2 linked regions of the Ovis aries genome follow. The protein of the gene in region 1 interacts with the protein of each later gene in a pairwise test. Links are inferred from orthologs where the notes say so. Each region holds a gene or a part of one and is shown on either strand. Other genes may lie near its edges.

What was found.
Region 2: the proteins of DNAJA3 (region 1) and TCF19 interact in a two-hybrid assay, tested with the Homo sapiens proteins (2 studies listed by BioGRID and IntAct). The two-hybrid records come from large-scale screens. The link is inferred for Ovis aries from reciprocal best matches to the Homo sapiens genes DNAJA3 and TCF19.

The regions. Positions count from the first base shown.
Region 1 is NC_056077.1:4,163,175-4,172,555, reverse strand, and holds part of DNAJA3 (dnaJ homolog subfamily A member 3, mitochondrial), read right to left. Parts: intron 9,233-9,381; coding exon 9,085-9,232; intron 8,026-9,084; coding exon 7,961-8,025; intron 6,820-7,960; coding exon 6,691-6,819; intron 6,238-6,690; coding exon 6,122-6,237; intron 5,385-6,121; coding exon 5,171-5,384; 3' UTR 1,464-5,170; coding exon of another isoform or gene 1,360-1,463; 3' UTR 805-1,359; coding exon of another isoform or gene 782-804; 3' UTR 1-781. UniProt on the Homo sapiens protein: Modulates apoptotic signal transduction or effector structures within the mitochondrial matrix. Affect cytochrome C release from the mitochondria and caspase 3 activation, but not caspase 8 activation.
Region 2 is NC_056073.1:27,057,598-27,067,696, forward strand, and holds TCF19 (transcription factor 19), read right to left. Parts: upstream 6,101-10,099; 5' UTR 5,984-6,100; intron 5,557-5,983; exon of another isoform or gene 5,410-5,556; 5' UTR 5,230-5,409; coding exon 4,992-5,229; intron 3,953-4,991; coding exon 3,397-3,952; intron 3,144-3,396; coding exon 2,903-3,143; 3' UTR 2,360-2,902; downstream 1-2,359. Other genes in the region: POU5F1 (POU domain, class 5, transcription factor 1), read left to right, coding at 90-220, 547-705, 809-1,075; CCHCR1 (coiled-coil alpha-helical rod protein 1), read left to right, coding at 7,087-7,302, 7,600-7,666, 7,745-7,958, 9,583-9,886. UniProt on the Homo sapiens protein: Potential transcription factor that may play a role in the regulation of genes involved in cell cycle G1/S transition. May bind to regulatory elements of genes, including the promoter of the transcription factor FOXO1.

The sequences.
Region 1 (9,381 bases):
TGAGACCCAAGGCCCTGATAGCAGCGGGGCAGGGCTGGGGTTGAGAGGCCCTCAGTCAGCCCCAGGCCACACTGGCTGTGGTCCAGCAGAAGGGCAAGAGCCCCACTCATGCCTGCCTTAGAAAAACACAACTCAACTCTCGGGGGACAGGGCCACCCTGTCCTCCTGACGGAGGTCACAGCCCATGTGATCAAGAGTGAACTCTCCAGGGACTGTCCTCTAGGTGTCAACCCAGGCCCTCCAGGCCCCAGGTTCCAGCTGCTCAGTACCTTTGGGAATTAAAACCAACTCCAGCTGAAGGGTGGGTGACACCAGTGGGGTGTGTGCCCCAGGTTCCTGGAAAGGATAACCTGTCAGGAAAGACTCATTCTGGAACGTCCCGGAGGTTTGCTGAGAAGGAAATCAATCACGTCACAACTCGGTGCAACTTAAGGCTTCATTTTCAAGCTGTAAGCATGGCCTTTAATTCTTTAACCACATTCAGTTCCAAATTAAGAGTTTCAGCTCTGCAGGAAGTGTCCAGCCGTCTGACTGCCAGAGCCTGAAGAGGCCAAGTTACCTACCCACGGAAAGGAAACTACCAGCCCTGAGGCTGGCCATGCCTGACTGCCCAGCGTCTGTCCCATATGCCGCGACCTTCTGTGAAGAGCTGCGTGGCCACGTGAGTTCGCTGTTGCCAAGGCGGTCCGGAGGCCTCTGCAGGCAGGGGCTCGGTGCTGCCGTGGGGAATCCTCCCGCGTCCAAGGTGCCCTGGCCACGAGGAGGTGCTGCTGTTCCCTGCCTAGTTCCCAGTGGACCGTTTTCCTGAGCCAAGACACAAACGGGTACAGTTCACTGGCCTCGCAGGAAGGACACGCCCTGTTGGTGAACTTCTGCGGTCCCTGGGAAGGAGCCCCCGCCATCAGGGACCAGCACAAACGAAAGGTGTATCCCAAGACACCATGGTGAGCAAGCAGGACTCCCATCACTGCCCCACCCCACTCCACACTAAAGCTGACATTGCCCTAGACATCCCAGGCAGGACAGGGCGGGGCTAGGGAGATCTGAGTTCTAGGCCTGGCTCTGCTGTGACCTGCCCTCTGTGACTATGGACAACCTGGTTCCCACCATGGCGGGATGCAATGCCCCCGGGAGATGGTGGAAGGAGGGCTGGGGGCTCCAGGAGGTGGTTCAGCCCTGCACTACTGGCCAGCTCCCCTTGGGCTGAGGCTGGGTTCACACCATGCCTGAGATGAGAACCTCTTCACCTCTCGGGGTGGGGGGATGATACTGGCTAAAATGAGGGAAAACAGGGATTCATTAGTTCAGAGGGGCATGAAGGGGAGGAACCTCAGGGGTTTTCCTACCTCGGCTGGGATATCAGGAGGTAAACATTCTCTTAAGTTTGGAAAGGAATCCCTCCTTGTCCTCCCCAGCCTCAGGCCTAGCCTTGCCTCCCGCGGAGCTATCCATGGTGCTGCCACCTGGGCATAAACAGCAGAGAGAACTGGGGTCAAGGGTGCAGACCTCCTCGCAGCCCGCCCCAGGCCCCGCCTGGCCACCCAGGGCTCGCGCTCCAAGAGCCACCAAGCGCCACCCCGAGAGGAGAGGTGGCCGTATCAGGTTGTCCAGGGTTGTCCCGTTCATCAGATGACTCAGCACTTAGAGCATCCCAACTGTTCCCCAAGTCACTGGCCCTCAAGAGGAAAACAAGGAACAGAAAGGGACATCAGGCAGCTGTCCCACCTTAACAACCATAACAAAAAACAGCCGGTGCTGATGCCTTCCAGGCCAGGCTACATGGCGTCCGTACCTCAGTCAATCCTTACGATAACCTTACAGGTAAATTCCAGATGAAAGAAACAAAAACCAGAGGCACAAAGGGGTTAGGTGGCATGACTAAGGTCACAGAGCAAATAAGCGAGCAGGAGGTCTGAGTTCAGACCCAAGCAGTCAGACACCAAAGCCCAGGCTCTGAGAAGGTGAAGAGCATGTGCCGAGAGCCACTGACCAGCTTCCACACCCAGCTAGTGCACACGGACCATCTTCAGGTAGCACCCGGGACCCCAGGACATGTGCGCTGCTCATCTGGGACGGGGCAGCCAAGGGCCCCGTGTGTCACCGGGCAAGCACCTGGCTCCAAATGCTCCAAGACAGGGTGGCCACCCTTCTGTTTTCAGAGGGGCCATGAGACCCCTCTGCACAAACACGGCACGTTAAAGATCGGCCACCCACGAGGCAAGAGGACCAATGCGCTATGAGCTGGACTGGACTCAATGTTTTTCATTGTGCCAGGAAAATTAGCGCATGTCAGTGTGCGGGGGGATGTATATCAAGGGCAATGTGTAGGACAAATGCCCATGTCCCCAAGATCTCAGTCTGAGATGCCTTTGCCGGTGAGAGGCCCACAGCTTCGGGCAGCAGGTCTCCAGAAGAGGTGGGGAAGGTAATCCATGGCTCTTCACAAGGTGATGAATAACCAGGTAACGCTCATTCCATGAATCTGTACCACCTTTTTCTCCACAGGTACAAGCTCCTAGTGTCATGAGCAAGGTCTGGCACTCACCTGGGGGTTCAGTGCCTGCTGGCCTTCCCCCCTCACACTGTAAGCTGGGCGGGGCAGGGACCCCATCTCTCTGGTCATCGCTTCTGAGCACATGGCAAGTGCTTGGTGACCATCAGTGCGAGAAACAGAAGCCAACAGGACTCCAGGGTGACATCTGAGGACTGGACCCACCCTACAGGCAGAGGTGCGGGGTCTACACGCAGTCTGACTACCTGAGCTGACTACACACTCAGACTGAGCCAGCAGAGTGCCTCTTGTTCCACTAAAATGTCTTTTTCCTCATCTTCCTCTTGCCTCCACCCTACCTAAATAAAGGGGCTCAACAGTCAATGCCGTCAGCTCATCAGAGAAGAGACCGCAGGTGGATCCAAGCTCTGGAAGAGGTTCCTGCACGACAGCTAAATGGACGTACAGAGGTCATCACAGGAGTTAATGACAATCCACAAACACAAACAACGAGCCATGCTGTCTCTAAACCCAAAAGGTCACTCAGTAACCTCAGAGTGCCCCAGGCCCCCAGCTCGCTGAGGTTTTTCTGCTTCTCAGACTGGGAACGAAGCCAGGGCCAGCCATTATTAAGGTTTTCAGCAGGGGCTACAGAGAACAAAAATAAACAAGCGATACTAAACCCACCAAAAACGTTTAGGTTGTTTTCCTACAGAATGGTAACTTTTCCAAATGCTTTCCCGATACCTTTCCCGTGGTGAAAGCAAAGACACCCAGGACTCAGTCTGCATCTGCAGTGACTATCTCCACGGGCACTTGGGGGCTATTAAGTGACACACTAGCCTAAGAACCACTGATGACTGCAGGCAACTGCTTCCAGTGTAACTTTAATAGCAGAGACTCAGGCTCTACTTGAATAAGTAGGATGCACCTTAGTACAGACGTCGGGAAAGGTTACTGTGTGCACCATGTCCTCACACGTGGACGGCAAAAGTAACTTTCTTCACAGTAACAAGAGGCTTAACCACACCCAGGCTGCAGACTGACCGACAGTGCATTCCAGTGCTAAGATTCTTAAAAGCCATTTAAATAATTATGTCTGGGAGCCATATTTCCCACTGAATACAATTCTGAAATGACAATGGAAGTGAGTGGAAAAAAAAATAATTCAGGACACTCATTTCACTTTATGAACTCTTCACAAACACATGCAACACATATGTTAACATGATATATTCAGCAAAATTATGTCAATAGAAATTTAAAACGAAGAACTGGCAAAGTGTCTGGCACATAAGAGCCTTTCAATAAATCTCGGCTAAACGAGGGGAGAGGGAATGAGCTAACAGGATGAGAACCGAGGACATTACTCAGAAACTGACTGCAGGATCAACTTCCAATCTGAGCTCTCAGGAAGGGGCTTGATAACAACTGGTGGATAATACCCAACATGCAAACAGTGAACAAGGCCCAGGGTCTCACTCAGAGCTCAGTCAGGAAGACCTCAAGTTCCCCTGGGGGAGGGGCGCATGGCTGAAAGCTGGTTGCAGAGCAAATCTCGCATGCTCTATGACTGTGGGACTATTTGGGACTCAGGAAAAAAACCTAGAGGTGCATAAGTAGAGTTATGTGGAAGAATCATCCCCACTTCTTTTTAGTCCAAGGGATAGTAACAAGAAAATATGAAAAAGTCTATGAACCAAACCACTAAAGTAAGTGCTCACTTTATGCCCAGTTGGCCAAAGACAGAATCTGTGGCAGCTGTTTTTTCACAGAGGACTTGGTCCCCTGGATTTAGGGGAGCTCGGCCAACTCCATGCAAAGGGTGCTGCCACTGGGACTCCCAGCCCTGCCCCAGGGCTCCAAGACCAAGACCTCACCCCCAGCTCTGATCACCTGCTCTGACTGCACACTAATCTAATACCACTCAAGTTCTGAGACGGTGACAGAAAATCCAGGACCCAGACAAAAACAATGTGGTGCAACCAGGAGGCAGCACATCGGGCAGCAGAAGCCAACTCACCCTCAGCACGGCCTGTCCCAGCCCAGCAGGAGGCCCAACTGACAGGGAACAGCGTTTCCTCGGCAGAGCACCCCATCCCAGCAGAGCACCTCATCTGGGCAGAGTACCCCCATCCAGAGGGAGGAGGGCCGCAGCCAAGGGTGCCTGTAGCCAAAGCTTCTGCCCAAGGTCAGAGTGGGGGGCATGGCTACTCACCAATCACCAATAATAAACTGCACTCTACAGATGTTTAAGCTCAAAGTAAACAAGGCGTTTTGTTTGTTCACGGCCCTAGAAGCTCAGAGTTTAGACCTGCTGCACACAGGCAGACCTGGGGTCGTTAAGCCTGCTGCAGCTGCTGTTTACAGGACACTCTGAAATCCAGGGGAAGACTTCTGGGCGAGGAAGACATACATCTCCTTTAGTGGCTACAAGCTGATCTCATGCAGGAATGAGCCCAAGGTCACAGGGCAAGTGGCAGAACCAAGGCTAGAACTCAGGAGAGCAGCCCTAAGGCACAGAGCTGCTCCCTGGAGGGAAGCGTCACAGAACTCACGGACCTCGGCCAGCAGCACGTGCACAGAGGATGAGGGCCGGGGCGGGGGGCCCTGCTGGCCAGCTTTCCCCAGAGTGTGGCTGCCCTGTGCCACTCTGCCCAACGCTCAGCCCCTCTCTTACTACTGGGCCCTCTGGAGACTCCAGGAAGATTCCCCAGTGGAAACCCCAACATGCTTCCAAACCGTCTGCCCTCCCAGGTACTGGGGGGCTCCCACGGGCCGCGGGGCTGTCTCACCAGTACTTGTGTTGGTGACGCCGTTCACCGTCCCCTCCACGTCGGTCTCGTCCTCAGCGTAGCTCAGGATTAGGCTCTGCTGCCGGCTTGTCAGTCTCCTGTGGACCGAGCGCAGTCAGTGTCCGAGTGGCTCCTCTGGGCAGCTCTTCAAAAGGACGTGGACGTGGCCAGTCCCCATGTAGCATGTGGGAAAGGCAGGACCCTCGACCCAGGCACCAGGCACACCCTGAACCCAAGAGCCCACACCCTTAAAGCTTCTGTAATGTAAACCTCTTCAACTACCCTGAGTTGTTCTAAACAACTGCCACTGTGGCCATGGTAAACAGTTTACCAGAGGAATGAAAAGCTGTTACAAGTGTGTGCAGGAAATCAACTAAAGAGAGTGCTGGAAACCCAGCCCTCTGAGAGGAGTCGGCAAGCCCCGTTCCAGATGTCCACAGCTCCCTCTTGGACTTTTCTCCTGAAGGCCAGACATGATACCTGCCGCCAGCTGGTTCTAGATCATCTCTCAGATGGAGGGCGACCCGAGAGTGATAATAAAACCAACAGCAGCAATAATAGCTAACTGCTCCCTATGGGTTATTCATTTCATCTCCCAGCTACTCAGCAAGGTCAAACTTTTATATCACGTCCGCTTTCAGAAGGAGCACCTGGGCAGGACAGACTTAGAGGGAGAAGTAACCTGCCTAAGCCTCAGTGCTTATAGCAGAAGTGCCACACAGGCTGGCGGTCGGGCTCAGCACCTGCCCAGGAGGTGAGAAGTCCTCGACCGGCTCCTGCTGGTGCTGGAAGCTACAGAGAGCGGGTGGGCCTCGCCACACCAGGTGGCACTTACTTTGGAACTCTGATCTTGATGTGAATGTAGTGGTCTCCGTAGCCATAGCTGTTAATCCTCGGGATGCCCTTCCCACTCATCCGAATCTTCTGGTCTGACTGAGTCCCAGGGGGGATCTACAAAGAAAGGAACCTCAGGTTTTCCTCCACCTCCAGCTGCCCAAATGAAAACATCTCACGACATGAAGACAATCTTACTCCCGAAAAGAACTCCATTCAGGTTTCTAGACCAAACCCACCAAACCCCACACAGAAACTGGCTAGGCTGAGTCTACCCTGAGCAGAGCCTGTGACGAGCTTGGGGCCAGGAGTCTGGGGTGGAGAGCCCACAGCAGGAGGGAGGGAGCTCGGGGAGTAGGACCTGGGAGGAGGCAGAGCCAACCCGCGGCGCCACTGAGGCCGCTGCCCAGCCCAGCAGGATGGACATGGCCCAGGAGCTGCTTCCCGGCCGAGTCACACCCAAGGTGTGGCCCACACTCCTCCTGCCTTCCGCCAGGTTGTTCCCAGGTTTCAGCCATTTCCCGTTTTAGAAAAACAAAAAGAGCAGTGAGAACGTGCTTGCACTCTTACCGTCACGCTGATGGTCTCGTACAGGCCCTGTGTTCTGGCGGTGCCCCCGAGGATGGCCTGAGCTATGGAGATGAAGAGGTCTGAGTGGATGTCTGCGCCATCCCTCCGGAACACAGGGCTTTTCTGCACCTAGGGTCAAGCACGGGAGGGTTATTCACGCTCAGAGAAGTCCTTCTGGAGAGCAGACCACAGCCGCGGCTCAGCGTGCAGCATCCAGGGAGACAGCGTACTTTCACCAAAGCGCCCACCTCCCCCAGGCTCCGGGAGTTACAGGGCAGCTTCTTCCTTCACTGCAATGCCACAGTGTCCTCTCAGATGAAGCTGTTCAAGTCTTGAGGGAAATAAAACTAAATTTTGAAAACTTAAAAAATATAAAAATCTTACTTTATTAGAAACACAGATGAAATATTTCACACACATGTAAATCAGCACAAGTAATTACCACACGCTGTACACACAACCCTGCTTAGGTCACAGAAGACCAGGACACAGGTGACTTCTCCCCCTCCTGCTTACCCCTCCACAGTAGCCGCTACGTTTAGTCTGTATCTTTCCTAGGAGCGTCTGTTTACCTTTTCTACATGTTTACATGTCCCTAAACAATACATGACACCACCTCACGTGGTTTGAAACTACACAGATGACCTCATTCCTCGGCCTGCAACCCGCTCGCTCCCTGTCCGTAACTGGGAGCTATCAGGGCGTCTCACAAAAACCTGTGCATCTCCAGCTTCTGCTCCGAGGTGCCCACAGTGCAGCCCCCTCACCAACTCCTCCCGAAGGACAGCAGGCCGTTGGCTGCTGTTGTCTCACCGTTGTAGACGAGGCTGGCACACGCCTTGCCTCCGCCTGCCGCACCTCCTTAGGGCCATGCCTGGTAGAATCGGTGGCAGAGGTGGTACTTCCTCTGTTATCCTTGCCTCAGAAAACTTTGCCTGCACGTCACACATAAATCTGTAGCTCTGGCACTTACTGTCCCCATGAACAATTCAATACATCAATAAAAAATATAAGATGTTTTCTGTATTTTTATGAGTGCTTTGTGGCCAACTTGTAAACACCTTGGGGTAACTTTGTTCTCTCCACATTTAGCACAAAAGCTTAATGTAACACATGTTTAATCATCCCGCTGAGCTGGCCACTACTTGACTAGAAACTTGAACAGCCAGGCACATTCTGTGAAGCTCTCACCTCACCCCTAAGAAGCCTGGGCTGCACCCTCTCCACGAGACCATGGGCCTAAAAGAGGCTGCGCAAACAGAGCACCTACCCTAAATGTGATGAAAATTTCTCGTTTTCCTACAGGCATCCTCACAGTCTGGCCATCCTCGACTCCTGTAAGCAAGAGAACAATTATTTGGGGATGTCTGAAGGCATTTTCTACGCTAGATCTATTTACAACCCACCCACTTACTCATTCCTGTTCCCTGTTACAAGGAACAACACAGTTACCCAATACAGCAACAAGTAAAACAAGTGTAACTTTTCAAAGGTGTGGCATATCGTAATTGATAACCAAATGAAAGCACCTTCCATTCACTTATTCAAGTTTACCAGCAGGTCCACCTAGTATCCCAGTGAGTTTAGAGTCTAGTGGGGCACAGTGCTAAAGAATCCGCCTGCCAATGCAGGAGATGGAGAAGCAGGTTCGCTCCCTGGGTGGGGAAGATCCCCTGGAAAAGGCAATGGCAACCCGCTGCAGTATTCCTGCCTGGAGAGCCCATGGGCAGAGGAGCCTGGTGGGCTGCAGTCCCTGCAATGAGTTGGATGCCACTGAGCACATCCACAGGGGAGACAGTTATTAGCTGAATAACAACACCATGTATCACTACAAACAGAGATAATTGCTTAGAATGAAAAGATCACAGCTCCAAAGGAACATCTAAGCAAATGCTTCCAGAAGGCTCCCCTGGGGATGAGGAAGCTGCAGGCAGCAAGGCAACAAGGGGGAGACTAAGAAGATAGGAGGCTGAGACCAGGAGGGCCTGGAAGAGGAGGCCAATTTTTGGCCCCTGAGAACCGCCACAGGGTCTTCAACAGTGTGAGATGTAATCAGACCACCCTGGGCAAAGACCACTCCAGGAATAGGATTGGTTTGGGGTGGGGGGTGGGGGTCATAGGCCGGCCCTGGGGGCAGAGAGGGTGGCTTTGCCCAGCTGGGCGGACAGTGGGTACAAGGTTGGCCTTGGGACAGAAAGAGGTGGAGGAGCTGCTTCTCGCAGGAGCAGGGCAGGCACGCGAGGTGCCATTTCCTTATGACACACGCAGATCTTAAGGGTAACTGGTGCAGAGGAAAATGCCTGAGACTCTGGTTTCTCCCTGAGTTTCAGCTCCAGAAACAAGGGCAGGTGGCCTCAGCTCCCAGCCCCCATGCGTGGAGGAGCCCAGACCCACCGGCAGGCACGGGGATCACCACCTTCTTCTTCTGCTTAGCCTGTCCTGCTCCTCTGCACACCACACAGGGAGACGTGATGATGGAGCCCCGGCCACCACACCTCCGACACGTGGAGCGCATCACAAAAGGGCCTGTGTTTATGGTTTCCTACAAAGACAAAAAAATGGGACCCTTAGACACCAGTGCACCCTGACAGCAAGGCCCTGGGACCACAACGAGCATGAGAAACGTCTCACCAAAGACCCATATGTGTGGTGTGCGCCTGCACTACAACACACTGCCTGAGCACAAGCTGC
Region 2 (10,099 bases), on another chromosome or scaffold:
TGGGAACAGGTGGCAAGGCCTGTGTCGGTCTTGTGGCAAAGGGAGCCTACCTGCTACCTCACCTTGCTTCTTCCAACCCACCTCCCCAGGAAAGGTGTTCAGCCAAACGACTATCTGCCGTTTTGAGGCTTTGCAGCTCAGTTTCAAGAACATGTGTAAGCTGCGGCCCCTGCTGCAGAAGTGGGTGGAGGAAGCTGACAACAACGAGAATCTGCAGGAGGTGAGGGTGGGAGGGATGCACAGGGACGGCCCTATCTCAAGTCTGATTTTCACTGCTTTCATCTCTGGCTGGCAGCACGCCCTCTGGGAGCCAGTGGCCCTCAATGGCATGAAGTGTGGTTCCTCTGTTCTGCTGAGAGAAGGTCCAGGATCACTTGTCTAAACCTATCTTTCCAGGATCTTTTTCATACCCCCTGGCCCTGGTGACAACTGGCTGCTGCTCCTGAATAGTTGGCTCTTGAGTCACTGTCCCCAATACTGGTCCTTAGCAGGTTTGGGGCTTGCCCGCCCATTTATTTCCTTGTCATCTCCTCCCCACCTGTTCAGATATGCAAGGCAGAGACCCTTGTGCAGGCCCGAAAGAGAAAGCGGACGAGTATCGAGAACCGAGTGAGAGGCAACCTGGAGAGCATGTTCCTGCAGTGCCCGAAGCCCACCCTGCAGCAAATCAGCCACATCGCCCAGCAGCTCGGGCTGGAGAAGGACGTGAGTGCACCTGCCCCTGTCCCTGTGTGTGCCGTCTCCTCCTCCCCGGTCACACCTCCCAGGTCTCAGGACCAAATGCCCCTCCCGTGTCCTCCACTCCTAGGTGGTCCGAGTGTGGTTCTGCAACCGTCGCCAGAAGGGCAAACGATCAAGCAGTGACTACTCCCAACGCGAGGATTTTGAGGCTGCTGGGTCTCCTTTCGCAGGGGGACCCGTATCCTTTCCTCTGGCGCCAGGGCCCCCTTTTGGCACCCCAGGCTACGGGGGCCCTCACTTCACTACGCTGTACTCTTCGGTCCCATTCCCTGAGGGTGAGGCCTTTCCCTCGGTGTCTGTCACCGCTCTGGGTTCTCCTATGCATTCAAACTGAGGTGCCTGCTCACCCCAGGAATGGGGGGCAGAGGAAGGGGAGAGCTAGGGAGAGAACCCTGGGGTTTGTACTAGGGCTTTGGGATTAAGTTTTTCATTCACTAAGAAAGGAATTGGGAACACAATGGGTGTGGGGGCAGGGAGTTTGGGGAAACTGGTTGGAGGGAAGGTGAAGTTCAATGATGCTCTTGACTTTAATCCCCACATCACTCATCACTTTGTTCTTAAATAAAGAAGCCTGGGACCTAGTAGGTGGATATTTTTGTCTTTGGTTTATCCTCTAGTTATTGAAGAGTGGATAGGATATTTAATAGTGGGTATTAACAGCTCTCAGACCTAAATGACCCCGAAACGAAGGTTGCTGTTTACACTGTGCAGTCACAATGTCAGAGGGAGCTGTGGGGTTGGATCCTAAGTTTATATGGACAGGGCTCTTTATAAGTGTGAGCTAGTTCTTAGGAACCTCTGACTTGCGGTCCTGCAGAAATTGGAGATGAACACCTTTGCCCAAAGAGGCAGTTATTACATAGTCCGTTCCCTATTAGGATCTGGGTTTTTGCTTTCCTCCATTCTTCTCTGTAGTCCTCAGTGGCTTTGTGCTAAGAAATCAAGCCTTTACTCATTTCTTCTATCAGTCCAACCAGAAACGCCACTTTGTGCTTTCTTGATACTGGGGTCCATTTGGTTTTCACTTAAGGTTTTTGCCTTGTTTGTGACTCACTTACCACTACACACACTTTAGACCTGACGCTGCCACTTCCTAACTGGGGCTCTTCCTCTGGAGCTTTTCCTTGATCCGTAAAAACATTTGGGTTGGTAAGTCTAAGTAGAGAAGGAAGGGGATGGACATGCAGGTTGCAAGAAGATAGGTCAAGACAGGACTTTCCTAGTAAGAACTATAGAAACACTGCTTTGACAGTGTGCTGACTTGGTGTGCAACTGAGAAGAGACTCAGTGGAGCATATGTGGGTTGTATCGATCCTGGACCAGGCTGACATCTGCTCTAGCTGGTGTCTCAGGTTCTCTCTTCTTGGTAGTACTGATGAAACTTGTAGAAGTTCCACCACCCTCATGAACTTGATCAAATCCAAATGACATTTTAATGGCAGTGAATGTTTCCTTTTAAATTAGCAACTGTAATTACCTAGATTCCCCTTTTCCTGTCTTCCTCTGCCTCATCTGCTTGTCTCTTCCTGTAAGTATCTGAATTAATTTTCCAGACTAACCAACTCCATTCTGTCAAGAACTGGAAGGCAAGGAGTATCAGACCCACACAAAGAGTAAATACCTTAGAGCGTATGAAGCTGCTCATTCTTTATTTGGAAATGGAAGCAAAGCTCTGAGAAGTCAGGTCACAGTCATTGTGGTCAGCAGCAGGACCACCCACAATGTAAGGAAGTTTGGGGTCTGTGCTCTAGAAATGCCTTAGGGATACCATCAAAAACATTAAGAACTTGCTTGTTCAAGGCTGGGGCTTATACCTTCCCAGGCATGACCTCTACAATTGATGGGTGCTCTTGACCACAGACATTCTAGTATCCATGACAAGGACCTACAGCTTGTGACAGTGGGAATTTCCAGCTCACTGGTAACTTCCTGGAGGCAGCAGTATCTTTGGCAGGAAGCCATCTCTTCTGTCACCTTGGCCACAAGGCCCTGCTCCAGGCCTTGAATTGATAATCCACAGGAGTGGACCCTTCTCCTGAGTCATTCCCTCCTGGAGAGGCAAGGATAGAAGAGGGCAGCTCTTAGGACCCATTGGCACCCTCAGTGTCCACCCCTGGCCTGGAGGTGCTGGCTCTGTCCTCTGGTGCTTTGGCGGTGGGCCTTAGGTCTGGATGCCTGCACGACAGCCTGGGCACCGGAAGTCGGCCTCCCTGGCAGCCTGAATGCTGCAACCAACACAGGCCACATGGAACCAGATGTCACAGCCATCACACTGAACCCAGGCCACTGTCTCTTCTTGGGGTAGGCAGCAACAAGGGGCTGCACAGGGCTCCCCGCCCCCAACTGCAGGGGGAGCCCTGGAGTTGCTCAGTGGGTGCTTCCGAGGACGCCCGCGTCGATTTCTGAAGGAAGGGACACAAAAACCAAGGTCACTGGAAACCTGTAGAAGCCTGGAACTTCTCCCCTGGATAACTGCAGAGGGACCCCATAGAGATTCACTAGACTAATGGTGAATCTGGCTAGCACAGCTAACCCAGGTCTTGTCATCACAACAGGTGTTCCATCTCCCATCCCCACCACCCACGCATTTAGGTACATCTCAACCTAGGGCTCTAAAAGAACCAAAGGCAGTGAAATAAAGCCAAGTTCACTTACCCACTGGGTGTCGGCGGGGTTTTCTCTACGCGGAGTTTTTTCCTAGGCTCCGGCAGGACTGGTGAGGGGCTCTTGGGAGCCTCTCTCTCATCATCCAGTTCTTCCAACACGCGGTGAGCCGACTTCCTCCGGTTTCTTGGGGGTGGGGCAGAAGGGGCAGTCCCCGCTTGCCCGGTGGGAGTGGGAATAGGCGGACTCTGTGGCCCACCCCCACTCCGTGAGAAGGTGAGGGGCTGCGAGTGGAGCTTGCTGAGGCTGCCAATGGAGTTGAGGATCAGCGTTGCTTTGGGGGCTGGGGAGAGGGTGCTGAGCGGACGCTGTGGAGCCCCCTGGGAGGGCAGCATGGGCCGGAAACCAACCCCGGTTCCCTCTTCTCCCCTAGACCGTGGGGTAGTAATGGCAGCAAAATCTTGAGGTTTGACTCGGACTTGCTGAAACAAGTAGAACTCTGAAGGGCTGGTTCCTGGGGGCCCTTCAGGGCCAAAGGTCAGAAGATCACCATCATTCAATTCCAGCCTGTGACCCCTTGGGAGTCGGACATTATTGACCAAAGTCCCTGTTGATTATGGGGCACCAGACAGATAAAGAGAACGACAAAAACAAACGACTGGTCAGCAGTGGAGAAATCTGGTCCTGTCTGGTTTTCTGGGAAATATGAGGAAGAACACATGCATGTCATGAAATCCTCACATTCTAAGTCCCTCAGTAAGTAGGTGTCATCAGATAAGAAACTCCCTGGGAGCTAAGAATTTTTTTTTTTCCTTATGCTCTCCCTCAAGGCACATGAAATGAACTTCCCTCAATCCACTGAGGTCTGGGTCTCAGAGATGCTCACTCTCAGTTCCAGTTAACAGCATAGCTCAGACTATCTGAGTTCAAATCCAAATTCCACCATTTACCTGTCACGTGACCCTGGACAAGTCAGCCTCTTTATGCTTCATTTTCTTTGTAAAATGAGGCATTTGTGCTCACCTATATTTAATGCACATAAAACAGTTCTTGGCGCATAATAATAAACAGGAAATGAATGTTGGCCAATTGAAGTTATCTAATCCCCACAACACTCCTCACTTTCAAAGACATATTTTAGCTAAGAGGAAACTAAGACCTAGAGAGGTGAAGTGGCAGGTCTGAGTGATGTTACCAGGGGCCAACAGCAGAACTCGTAAACCCAGGCCTCCTGAGGCTGCCTAACTGCCTCCAAGTCAGGGAGTAACGCCCATGTCCGGATGATTAAAAGATAATTCAACATAAAACACAACTGCCCTAAGGCAAGGACAAATGTCTAAACAATCTGGAAACTGAAGTCTAAGCTTGCCCCCTCACTGCCCACCATGGTCTCAGAACATCCCCACTGTGATGCCCCAGTCTGTGGATCTATCTCCCACCCACTCTATAAGCTAAACAGGATCAGCCCCACAAAGAGCTTCCGACACTGCACATTTCTGGTGGAAAGACAGAAGTCTGCATGACAACCGTCCATCCAACCTGATGGGGAGTTTGGGAGGCCAGCAGAGTCCCTGTGGAGTCTCTTAATTCATTCCAGCCCAAAACTGCGACTGCCCTGGCATAAGGCTGCTCTGCTCACTCCTCACCTTGGCTGCTGTGGTTCTCCAGGCTGACCCTCCAGTCATCACCCTGGCGCTCGGCATGCAGCTCTGCGTGGACCCCAGAAATGAAGCCTGGCTCGTGCTGTGGCCGCAGGGTCACATCACAGAGGTCGGCCCTGCAGCCCAAACGGTAGGTGCAGCCAGCTCCACTGGGGGGGTGGAAGGTGTGGAGATCGACACCCTTGCCGACCCCTATGCGCAGCAGCTGGAAGCAGGGCAGCATGGGCGGGGCCCCCTCGGCACCACCTCTTCACTTCAGGAATCCATCACCTTGTCCACTTTCCTGGGCCGTGCACAGCTGGCCTAAATTCACTTTCCGTCTGATGCAAACTTGAGCTATCCTTTGTGCAATTTCGACTTTGAGCACACTCCCTGAGTAGGGCAAATTCAGGGTGCACGGAGCCTAGGATGCGATGTAAAATTGGCTGTCAACAGCTTTGCAACGGAAAAAATTTGGTGAAAGTTCCAGTGTAGTGCAAAATAGAAGGCGTCCTGTGGCACGAAGTTGAATCGGATCCTCAGGCCGCAAAATATTCCAGGAGCCTTCAATCTGGGCAAGTCAACAATACATTAGGCAGCTTATAGGGAAATTCGAACTGTAGGTGTGGGGGGGGCGGGGGAGGGGCGCTGCTTCTGTGTGATATACTAACTTGCCTCTTCAGTGTAATTTAGAGATGAGAAGCTTCTTCCTGTCAAACCTGCTTTTCCTAATAGAGTAACCCGCCTGCTAGCTCACGCTTCACTCTTCTAACCAATTCCTCATTCATAACTAGCTAGCTTGACCCCCAGTGGGAAATGTACTCAGTCACCCCTCAAAGGCAGTGCAAACGGGGCTCTACGTTGTCCAACAAAGTGGATCTAAACCCCTGCTTTCTGGTTTCTCCAGGTGGGATAAAAACAGAGGAAAGGGCTTCCCAGGATGATTCAAGACAAATCCAGCCTTTTCCCTCCCCGCCCCAGCCCGGATTCGTATCTACCGCGCTGTGCAGTCTCGGAATGGTTCCCTCTCCAGGTAATGCCAGCCTATGCCGCAGCCCAGGACCTCTCGGGATCGGCCGGGGTTGGTGCTCCTGCGGCTGTTTGACAGCGAAGAAGCCAGGGCCAGGAGGGGCGCGGTCTCCGCGCGCGCGCATCGTCGACCCCGCCTTCGGAATTCCCGGGTCCGGACTTCGAGCGGAGTGAGCGCGTCCCCCGAGCCGTTTCTGATTGGCCATCTCGTTTGCCTTCCTTCTCTCCATTGGGCGACGCGCTGGGATCTCCCGCCTTCCGCGTTTTCTGATTAGTTCACAAGTTTTCCCGGGTTCCCGGAGTTGGGAGGAGCCGCCAGGGCGCGGAGAAACCCCTAACGCCTTAATTGGGCCTGGCTTTAGACACTACTGCGCCTGCGTGCGCCGCTTCCCCGCCTCCTTCCGGAGAGGTAACCCTACAGGCTTAAGAGCGTCCCGCCAACCTGCCCGCTTTGCGCAGGCGCGGCCAGGGATCCAGGCAGCGACCGGGAGCTAGGTGTAGGGGGTGTGGCCAAAGGGCTGTGGGGTCTCTCGCGCTGGGTAAGGGGCATTCGGGAAGAGTCAGTTGGGGGCGGGAAGGGGCTGAGAGGGGGTGCGGGGGTGGGTTCAGGGGTCCACCGGGCGGAGGGGCGTAAGGGCAGGGTAAAGGAACAAATGAGGTGGTCAGAACAGCCTTAGAGCTCAGCGTCCAGCAGGGCGAAGACTCAGGAGGATCTGGGAGAGAGGAGGGAGGGAGTGCAGGCTACTGAGACATGAGAGGGTGAGGGGCCAGCATAATTCCTTCAGGATAAAAGCAAATAGTGATGTAGGGAGGGATAGGGATCCCAGATTGGGAGAAAAATAGATGAATTCGGGTGGGAGGGTGGGGAGATCTTGACAAGCCCTCTCTGCTCTAGGACTCTGGAGAGGCAGGTGGGAGGCAGGAATGGAAGCTGAGGGGACGATAGAGAGAAACTGAGTGGAAAGTTGCTGGCACGGTTTGGATAAGATGTCCGAAACTAGCTGGCTTTTCTGCTAAGGAGTCCAGGCTGCCTGGATTCCCCCAGGGGTTCTGGGGAGGCATTCTGTGCTACATGTGGCCGCATTCATCAGGGGCCAGGCCTTGGGTCAGCGCTCTAATAGGGAAGGACCCGGGAGTCATGGCTTGGTGGTGTCTGGATGGGCTTCCCCAAGGTCTTGGTGAGCCATGGAGAGAACTCTGGAGACTGGGCTCACGGCCCCTGCATCGCATACCTCAATTGTCACCTTCATCCAGGAACTGCAGAGACCATAGAAACTTAAGGAGGAGGGTAAAGGCACTGTCCAGAATTCTAAAAGTATGAGTAAAACTTCACAGCCCCTCAGCCTGTCTCAGTAAATTGTCTCCACCTCATGGCTGTTGCCATAGTCTGTCAGGAACCAGACTGAGACAAGCAAGGGATCTTGGGGTACTTCCTGCTTCTTTTGGGAAGTAGAATAAGAAAAGCTAAGAGTCGGATGGACCTGGCTGTTATTTAAGGATTATGACTTTGTTATTGTAGGGGCTCTCTTTTTGGAAGGAGGCCTGAAAATTGAATTGGAGTGTCTTTGTTTCTCCTATTGTTTAGGGGGGCATAGATGGCTGTACACCGACTCTAGAGACTTCAAATAATGTGGAGATGTTTCGACCTTCAGGTCAGTGGGACCTGGCATGGGGACTGGTGATTGTGTCTCCCTGGAGAACTGAGTACCTTTGTCCTTACGATTCTTTAGGTTCCACTGGGCTGATTCCCCCATCCCACTTCCAAGTTCGGCCCCTTCCAACACTGCCGAGAATGGCTCCCACATGGGCCTCAGACGCTCCCCTGGTCCAGCGCCCAACCCATCAAGATGTTTTAGAGAGGCGGCCAGACAACCAGAGACCTCAAGTTACCATGTGGGAACAGGAAGTTTCTGGCAAAGGGCAGGAACCAGAGTGGAGAGGCAGGTATGGATCTAATGTTACTGTTCTCTTGGGCTTGCTTGCCAATGACCCTTCTTGACTGTAATAGAGTCCTTACCCTCTTTCAACCCTTAGTTCCACAATTTGTTCATTTTTTTTTAGAAGCAATTGTTGGTGTCTACAATGCATAAATAATAGCAGTGTGCTAGATGCTAGGGACAAAGATAACAAAAATAAATAAGATATCCTGATATCAAAGAATTTTAAATCCTAAGGGAAGAAATTGGTTGACCCACAGCTGATTGTACTAAGCGTAGTATAAGGCAGGCTGAAGAAGTGTGGGCTGGGTATACAGACTGGGTGCTGTAGTAGTACGAGTTCATCTGGTGGAGCTGGCCATGCTCTCTGTCAGTGTGTTGTCTGTGAAAATTCTTATTCTTGATGTTTCATGTGAATCTTTTCCCAAATGTACTGGACCATCCGTCTGCCATTTTGTTCCTGAGCAGGATTGCAATTGGGTCTACTTTGGGCCCTGTCAAAGGGAAAGAAGGAGGATGATGAAAGGGGAGCGTGAGAGTGTCAGGGGATGGAGACTCTGTGGCTTGTTTGGCTACCCTCTAGGGGTCCTTTGTCCAGTCACTTAATTTCTGTAGGCTACAGATCCTGTAAAAAGGTGTTGGGGAGTCCAGTGGTTAGGATTCCAGGCTTTCACTGAAGGACACATGTTCAGTCCTTGCTTTGGGATCTAAGATCCCACAAGCTGCATGGCACAGCTGAAAAAAAATTTTTTTACAGTGCTCTGGTTCTGGGCCTCAGTGAGGGAACTGTGTCAAGAATCATCTTATAAGCTGGTTTCAGCTCTCTAGAGGTTGGGACTTTGTGATTTATTGAGATGCTGCCCTCTCAGACTTCTCATGCAGGATATCTAACAGTTAAATAATCTTAACTGGCGTCTGGCCTTGCCATACTGATACTGGAAGCCATCACCTCTCTTTGTACCTCCATCAAACTTTTCCCTGCCCTTAAGTCAGAATTCAGCAGTCTCAGTGTCCTTCAGACTTCTCCAATTCAGAATGTGTAGCCTAATGATGTGGAGAAGACGATAGCACCCCACTCCAGTACTCTTGCCTGGAAAATCCCATGGACGGAGGAGCCTGGTAGGCTGCAGTCCATGGGGTCGCTAAGAGTCGGACATGACTGAGCGACTTCACTTTCACTTTTCACTTTCATGCATTGGAGAAGGAAATGGCAACCCACTCCAGTGTTCTTGCCTGGAGAATCCCAGGGACGGGGGAGCCTGGTGGGCTGCCGTCTATGGGGTTGCACAGAGTCGGACACGACTGAAGTGGCTTAGCAGCCGCAGCAGCAGCAGCCTAATGACGTGCACGTGTGATGGTTAACACATCTGTCTGTATATTGCCTTCAAGAGAGGTTATGGTCCATGAACTCAGCTAGCTTTTCAGGTCCTGTGGACCCAGATATGCTTAGTAGGGCTGCCTTGAATGATGATGGTGACGGAATGCAGAGATCCCCATGGCCCAGCTTCATTCCCTGCATCCCTCCACATAGGAGCAGAGGGATCCTCTCCTCTTCTTTTGTCTCCATTCATGCCTTGGCCGCTCTCACCACCTGACTGACCTGTCCCACCTATGCTAACTTGTCTCTGAAGGTGCACGGAATTGGCAGGGTCACAGGCCCTGAGTCAGCAGGCTGAGCTGATCTCTCGACAGCTGCGAGAGCTGCGGCGGCTGGAGGAAGAGGTCCGGGTGCTACGGGAGACCTCGCTGCAGCAGAAGCTGAGGCTGGAGGCTCAGGCCGTGGAGCTGGAGGCACTGGCACGGGCGGAGAAGGCTGGCCGCGCTGAGGCTGAGGGCCTGCGTGCCGCCCTGGCTGGGGCCGAGGTTGTCCGAAAGAACCTGGAAGAAGGGAGCCAGCGGGAGTTGGAGGAGGTTCAGAGGCTGCACCAAGAACAGGTGAATGTGGGTGTGGGGAAGGCTCGGCTGCCCAGTGGGGAGCTAGGCGGGAGCTCCCCAGCAAAGAGCAGGTTTTGCCGAAAAGAGCGATGAGGTGTTTGGTGAAGGTAAAAAAATACAGGTGACCTGGAAAGAGGGAGAACTTGGGTGTGTTGTTCTTATTCAGATTGCCCTTTTCCGCTCAGACTCAGGTGACCTCCCATCCCCTGAAGC